Linked DNA regions of Coturnix japonica. The protein of the gene in region 2 purifies or fractionates together with the protein of the main gene of each other region. This does not show direct contact. Links are inferred from orthologs where the notes say so. Each region holds a gene or a part of one and is shown on either strand. Other genes may lie near its edges. The genes, in order: UBA6 and USP48.

What was found.
Region 1: the proteins of USP48 (region 2) and UBA6 fractionate together in Homo sapiens (co-fractionation; 3 studies listed by BioGRID, with this or other methods). This does not show direct contact. The link is inferred for Coturnix japonica from reciprocal best matches to the Homo sapiens genes USP48 and UBA6.

Annotation. Positions count from the first base shown.
Region 1 is NC_029519.1:46,080,723-46,084,534, forward strand, and holds part of UBA6 (ubiquitin-like modifier-activating enzyme 6), read right to left. Parts: intron 3,544-3,812; coding exon 3,481-3,543; intron 2,508-3,480; coding exon 2,431-2,507; intron 1,780-2,430; coding exon 1,713-1,779; intron 1,401-1,712; coding exon 1,257-1,400; intron 731-1,256; coding exon 663-730; intron 402-662; coding exon 323-401; intron 1-322. UniProt on the Homo sapiens protein: Activates ubiquitin by first adenylating its C-terminal glycine residue with ATP, and thereafter linking this residue to the side chain of a cysteine residue in E1, yielding a ubiquitin-E1 thioester and free AMP.
Region 2 is NC_029536.1:5,719,199-5,723,010, reverse strand, and holds part of USP48 (ubiquitin carboxyl-terminal hydrolase 48), read right to left. Parts: intron 2,799-3,812; coding exon 2,674-2,798; intron 2,367-2,673; coding exon 2,258-2,366; intron 1,036-2,257; coding exon 902-1,035; intron 670-901; coding exon 587-669; intron 319-586; coding exon 139-318; intron 1-138.

The DNA.
Region 1 (3,812 bases), on a different chromosome or scaffold from region 2:
GTTAAAACCTAATAGACATTACAGTGGCATTGGAGGAGACCAACTGATACAAACAATCATCCAAAGGTCCTGAACAGGCTACTAGAACTCCATGAAATTCAACACAGGTAAGTACAGGCTCCTCAATTGGAGTACATTTAGGAACAGCACTGCCTGTGGAGGTAGTATTGCTGTTGAGATGGGCTCCTGATGGACAGAAAACTAAACATGAGACAACAATATACCCAATCAGCATCAAGTCCAACTTCTTATCTTCAAGACAGGTGATGTCAGTTGTGTTTGCAAAGTATTTGCAAAAACCTTAAGTATCAGTTGTACTCACCAAGAAAACATTCAAATCATGCAGCTTCTGGCACAGAGATTCTCCAATACAAGCCCTCAAGGCATCATACCTATCTCCCCTTAAGAGAGGCAGGAAACAAAAACAGAAGAGTAGCAAGTTATTTTTTTCCATGGGGGCATCATCGTTATGGAATTCTACTTTGATGCAAATAAAACGACCAAGTCCCCTGCAGTCCCTATTCCTCCCATTCTCAAACAGGATGTGCACTTTTAAGCCCAAACTTCTCTCCCTCCAAAAAGCATTACTAAACTAACTTTAAAAGACATCTACGCTTACTTGAGAAACAGTACATAAAAAAGCAGACTGTATTGATAATTACCGTGGAAGAAATTCTTCAGAGCCCATCTTTTCTAGAGGTGTAACCATGTCTAACATATCTATATATAACTGTAAGACAAAAAATAAAGAACTGTGAAAAACAGTCATGTTTTGTTTAAAAAAACGTAAACATTTAAGCATACAGTCAAGTCTAGAAATCTTGTTATAGCTCATTATAGTTCACCACACAATTTTCACAGACAGGAATGCCTGGAAGCCACTGAAATCTGAGCCACAGCCTTATCACTTGGATTGTGACGTTTGTAATCAGATGATTGTGTGATCCTCTGAAAGGGACTGTGACACTTTTAACTTTATTCTGACATTTGCCCTGCGAGTCCTGAAAGCACTGCTCTTGTGCTTAAGATGGTATTTGGCAAGATCACACTGAGTATGATGTCCCAATCCCAAATAGAAAAGCTTAAGCTAAAACTGCCTGCTCTTTTACATTATGCGCAAGACCACCACATGTTTCTAAGTTCAGTCTCAAGTCCTTTTTCTTTCCCCCGTTACACAAGTTGTTCAGCACTCACAACACAACCACACTTCACCACATCACTGTTAAAATAAAGGTACAGAAGAAAAAAGGCCTTACCCATTGCTGCAGTGGAGAAAATTTTCCTGTAACTGCTTTCAGGACTTCCTGGCTGGCAACACCACCCACTGCTGCTGCCAGAGGAGCTAGAAATCCCTGAGCAGTTCTGGACAGCCACTTCACTATATCTCCATTTACCTGAGGCTTAAAAATAGAACAAAGCAATAATGTGTGTATATATATATATATACACACATACATACATATACATATATATATACACATGTATATACACACATGTATGTGTGTATATATATATACACATACATATACATACACACACATATATATATATCTCCAACTGATCAAGTCACATTTCTTGCGTGGCCTTCAGAAAAATCACCAAATTCATCTAAAGATGCATACAAAGATCAGAACAAGAGCCAAAACCTAAAGCACGGCCTTCAGGCAACCAATTATATTAGAAATTACTCATGATCCCTATTTGCTACTCACTTTGTTTTCCAGGGTTTCACTTAGAGACATGGCTATTTTCAGCATTTCCTCAGCATCTTGATGGCATCTAGACACAAGGGTAAAAACAATAATGGCCACTTAAGCATTCTTGAGTCCTTCTAAAAACAAAACCAATTGAGAAAGAATTGCTGGATAGAGAAGGAAGATTCTGGAAATCTGTACTGGCTTTAGTATTAAAGAAACTCTTTAAACGTTAAGAACAGCTCAAGAGTAAGAGCCTCAGTGGAGAAGCGCATGTGTAAGTCAGGTGATTTACACAGTAGTTTCATCTCATTGGACTCAGAGGTATCCACATAAACGACAGCTGAAACAAATTACTACTAATGAAAAAAAACAGAGCCTTCCCAAGCTTTGATTTTTTTGTCTTTTTAAATCCACAAACTGACAGATAATTCAGGAATCATCAAACAACTTCTCCCATTAAACCCCTCCATGTGAAGAAACTGGAACAAAGAACCGCCTTCAGAAGGAAGCATTTACACTTTCTGTAAACCTAGGCCTAGAACTTGCCACTGCTACACTGAGAAAGCCCAGCTACAAAATTAGGCAGGTATTAGGTAACATTCTGCACCTAGATTTCAACTTTTAATTTCTATGTCACCTAAGCACCAGATAGGCAAGAAACCCCGCTGCACATCAAGCCACAGTAGAGATGTGCCTGGTTCAAGGCTTAGCAAACATAAGATTGCTGCATTACCCAATGTTCGGCATGCGACCAAATTTCTCCTCAAAGTGGTTCAATGCGAGCATGGCAATATGGGTTTGCAAAGGTGCCTGTTAAAGACAACAACAGCTGTTGATGTGAACATACTCAAACTGAAGGAGATAAAAGCAACCGTTAATACAAACTGTTCAGCTCTAAAAATGTTAAGTAGCATTAAATGCCAACTTGAAACATCTTCTGCTAGCGGTTTTAGAAAATGGATTTCAGCTTATGAAACACTGCTCAGGAGTAATGTAATACACCTTGTTGAGTACCCACTTCACCCAAGTCCAACTAGAGTCCCCAAAAAGAATTTAGTGCTGAAATCATAAAAAAAAACCACACAATTTTCTTTTAATTAGACATTAGAACACACTGCATTATGCCAAGTCTGAGTACCAGAGCCCAGTATTAATGGCCAACATCAGAAAATCTGAGCAGACAAGTTAGATTTCACATCCTCAAACAAACAAATCCAGAGATGAACATTTTTTTAGTTACTCAGCTTAATGAGTACATGGCTGCCATTCTTTTAAATATTACCAATACTTCAATAAAATTGTGTTGGAGGCAGATACAGGCAGCTTCCTCTTGGATTATAAATACCAGTAAATCTTTTTACAAAGGAAAGAGAAATTGTTCCCACACTCAACTGCTGTTATTTTTTCTATACTGCCTTGGCTCTGAATCCTTTGTATTTATTTTTAATCAAAGCTCATCAAAGAAAAGACACTGTTTCTTTTAAGCATTTATACTGCCATCCATTCATCGAAAACTGATATTTTAAACAGATTTACAGAGAGATGGCTATGAGTTTACAATATAATTTGCACAATTAACAAATAAATTTCTCCAGAAACCTAACTCATAGTGCATGTTTGGTGTGAGCACACAATCTGCCCTACTCCCATTTCATCCTCTAAACTCACATTTAACAACTGCAGAAATTGGAAAGGTTTATTGCTACACACTTAAAGGTGCAGATTATATTCCGTGTAGTTTCAAGCTTACAACACTGACACTCAGATCTCCACACTTTATTACCTCAGGCTTGATAAAATCTGCAACTAGGCACGTTGGATTTGTTAGCTGCTTCTCCAACCGTTCCTGGAAAAACAGAATTCATTAAAGTAACACAGGCACTTAATACAACAATTGCCCCTTCTTGAGAAAACCAATATGCTTCCTGAACAGACTGACATTCTTCTTAGCATTTATACTACTCTCTTCATAACTATGATGAGAAAAGATGCACAAAATAAAACTGAAAGCTTTGTCAGTCAAAAGTGCAATGGATGTTTCACATCACAGTGGCAAGACCCATTTCTCCAACTGCTCTGTGGTCACCTATTGGATATTTTACAAGCAACTGGTTG
Region 2 (3,812 bases):
ATCTGTTTCACACCTTACTCCTAAGATGTGATAGCACGTGTAGGAGCACTTCTGTTTTTAAGAGCATCAGAGCCTCCATGTATTGGGCCTCAGTGAAATGAGTTATTGTAAAATACACTCACAACTTAAAGGTTTTACCTAGATCTTCCTCAATCCCCAGCTGCAGTTTCTTCCCCTCCATCTTCTCAATGTCTTCATCATTGAATTTGTACCACTCTCCTGTCTGTGGGTCTTTCACGTGGGCAATGTAGTGCCCCGAGTACGCACTCACACCTCGGTGTATGAGCACAGCACTCAGTTCATACACATAGACACCATCTGGAAGGAAAACAGTGGTTATTCAGCTCCTGCTTTCTTTCCTAGCACTTCAGCTTTCTGCAGGGCAGCATGCAAAGGCAACACCTAGCTGCCCATCTCCCCAAGCCCTCTTCACATTGCTAGTTAGAGCTCCTGCATCCTGCCCAGCTGGGCACAGACAGCTGCTGCTCCGGCTTCCAACAGCTCTGGACAACCATGAGCAGATTCAGACAAGACCTCCTCTCGTTTGTTGAGTGGTAACTGCCAACTACCACAGGGTGCTACTCACTTTTTTTTTCCATAAAAGGTTCCATGTCAAGCAGCTCGGAGAAGCCAATGTAGGTGTTCAGCTTTTTCTTATGGCCAGTTTGTCTGTGCGAAGGCAAATGGCCAAGCTTCAGTTCAGGGGACAGCACCAATAGTTCACATCTCACAGTAACTTTCCTTGAAGCCCACCGAGCATCCCAAGAGAAGCTCATGCACGCATTCAATTCTCAACATCTCAAACCAATGTGGAAAGAGCAGAGCAGATGGCTTTCCAAAGGGCTTCCAAGCACCCAAGGCACTCCTGCTTTTACAGCACGCACTCCAGCGAGAGGCTTACCTGTCAAACACGAAACGCATCAGCTGCAAGTTGAGTGTGCATGGAAGACTTAGCAGCCTGATCTTCCTTGTGGCATTCTGCTTACTCTGACAAGTTTCGCAAAAATAACGATTGTCCCCTTCTAATTTTTCTTCCTGACCAGGGGAGGGGAGGGGGGGCAGAAAGAAAGATCTTGAGAACAGGTTACCCTGCAGTCAGCCCCTCTACCCAAGCCACCCACCGGAGACTGGAAAGCACTGAAAATATTTTAACCATTGAAGTCTCTGCCCAGCTGCCTTCCAAAATAATCTACAGGTTGGAAATCTGCAATCCTCTGGGCTAATAATGGCACTTTACAGCAGTCTGCTATGACTGTGCTGTCACTTCAAATGTCAAGCCAGACCTCAGGCTGCTTAGAAGGCTGCCAAGTTTGCTCTCCACTTGACCAAAGTGCACCAAGTTGGTTTAATACCACTAGGGCTAAGGAGAAAAAGGAACTGCCCTTTTATGTGATCACGCAGACTAAGTTAATGTACAGTCACATTTTAGCCTGTAAATCACAGTCCTTTGGGCTCAGCAAAACACACATCAGCCAGGGAAAGGAGAGTCTGAGCTTGGGTAGCACCAGTGACAGGATTAGGCCTGAGAACTCCAACTCCAACCTTTTCATTCAGAGGAGAAACACACAGTTGGAAGCTACCAGTATCAGGGCAGCAGCACTGCTGTCTGCATGCAGCTGCCCCTTCGTGTGCACACAGAGCTGCCATTTTTCCCAGCACACACTCCAGGAGCAAAGCAACCAGCTCGCACGGCAGGTTAGCTCTACACTCACGCTTCCAGCCTTTACCAGGGCTGCAACTTTGGATTCCAGCAGGTTTTCAAGTCACAAACAAGCACTTGCAGCTGTTCCCTCAGCTATTCCAGGGCCTTGCTAGTATTTTTGAGAGCAGGTTTTAGAGCAGGAAATGCCTCCCGTTGCTATGCAGATGAGCACCGGTATGGAAAACACAAAAAGCAGCCATTCTCCCAGTGCTATCCACGACAAAGCATTCAGACACTTTTACTCAGGCCTCCGGGGCTTTCCCAGCTTTCCTGGGAAGGCATTACAACTAAACACACCTTCCAAGTGCTTTTGAAAGCTGTTACATGCGCATGTGCAGCAATCCTGCCCAGAGCCACTTCTCCCTCCCCTGTGGAGTGCATGACTCATGACTGGGTTGTTTTTCCGGGTTTACAGAAAAGCATTTCCTTTTGCATTCATCTCAATGAGGCAGCTCAGCTCCAGCAGCCCACACCGACCTCAGAAGCTGCTGGTTGATGAAGGGAACAGAACACCTCACTAAGGACAGCACAGCTCACAAACCAATCAGACCGTACCTTGAGAAACTCTGTTATGCAGTCTGTCAGCTGCTTGTGCCCTTGGATATTTAACTCCAGCTCATAAAACTTAGACACGAGTTTGGACTCCCTACCGCACTGGTTGCAACTAGAATAAAGAAAACACAAATGCGTGAGACAAGTTCACCAGGCAATGAGCTGTAATTCCTCAGCCACTAGTAACCCTCCCCCTGTAGCTATGTAACAGCTAATGTGCTACGTCACAACAATGCAGGACAGCGTGTGCAGGATAACAGCACCTACCAGGAAACCATGGAGCACCTGCTTACTACTCCAGAAACCTCCAGCACAGCATTTCAGCAGCTCACCTGCCTGCTCCAGCTGCTAGGTGGGAAATTTCCCCTCATATCCTCCTGAAATGTGTAAATCTTTCTTCCCAAAGACCACACACTTACACTGTGACATAGGCGTACTCCCCACAGAACTGCTTCTGAACAATGTTTCGAACATCTGGATTTTTTTGTTTGGATAAAGTATCTTCCAGCAGCGACATGAACAGCTTGGAAAATTCCTGGGCATCCTGAAACAGAAAGCCAAAGCTTTTAACAATACGCCGAGGCACAAAGCACAATCACTGCTAATTTACTGCCAATTACACAGAGCCCTACACACAGCCTGCGCAGAGACTCCAGCGTGCCCTGCATAGAAAGAGACCAGGCTGGAGAACTAAAGAAAAGAGGAATTTGCCTAAACGGAGCACAAGGCCCCCAGCGTGAGAGCACAGCAGGAGTGAGGCTGGCTCTGGGCCAGCAGCTCCGGGTGGCTTTGACTTCTGCCCCGCTGCTCGCAGGGGTTCTGGATGGAAAACAGCAGCTTGTTAACCGCCTCAATCCCTTCGTGCTCCACCTGGCGTGCAGACATCAGCTCCTGCTGCCCAGCCATGCTGCTCTGCCCTGCTAGATCACAGCAGCTCTGAAAAGGATGCAGGAGCAGCTCGCAGAGCATTAATCATCCCCTGCCCCAGCACGGCTGGGTGGAAGTTAATCTCTCCAGCCCACCATTCCTGCAGAGATTTCTACCCTGTTAGCGCTCATTAGTCAAAGCCCCAGCACACAACACAAACTACCTGCATCGAGTGACACGGGAGGAAGAATAAAACTGAGAAGCTGCACTGTGGCTTTGCTCCCTTCCTCCTGCAAGGCATGGGAGCTGCTCCACGCACCACAGGGCAGCCCTCTCCCCTGAGATGGCTCTCTGCCTTCTGGGCTGCCTCCCTTCTCCTTACTTCCACAGCCCTGCACTGTTCTCTCCTCCAGAAAACAAGCTAGCTTTCACCTTGCTCGCCTGCCCAGGCCTCAGCTCTCCTCTCAGTGCTGTGCCTGCTGTGGTCCCACAGCTCCTCTCTCTGGTTCCTACCATTGTCACAATGGCACATGGCACTTGGCCAGCCTTTAACCTCACCAGTCACTAACAGACACTTCCTTCCCAGGGATGAGGAGCGACATTCCCCTCCCTCATCCTCTCCTGGCACTGCATACCTGCACTCTGGCTCTGATTCCAGCTGTTCTCCCTTACTACTCAAAGCTCATTTTCA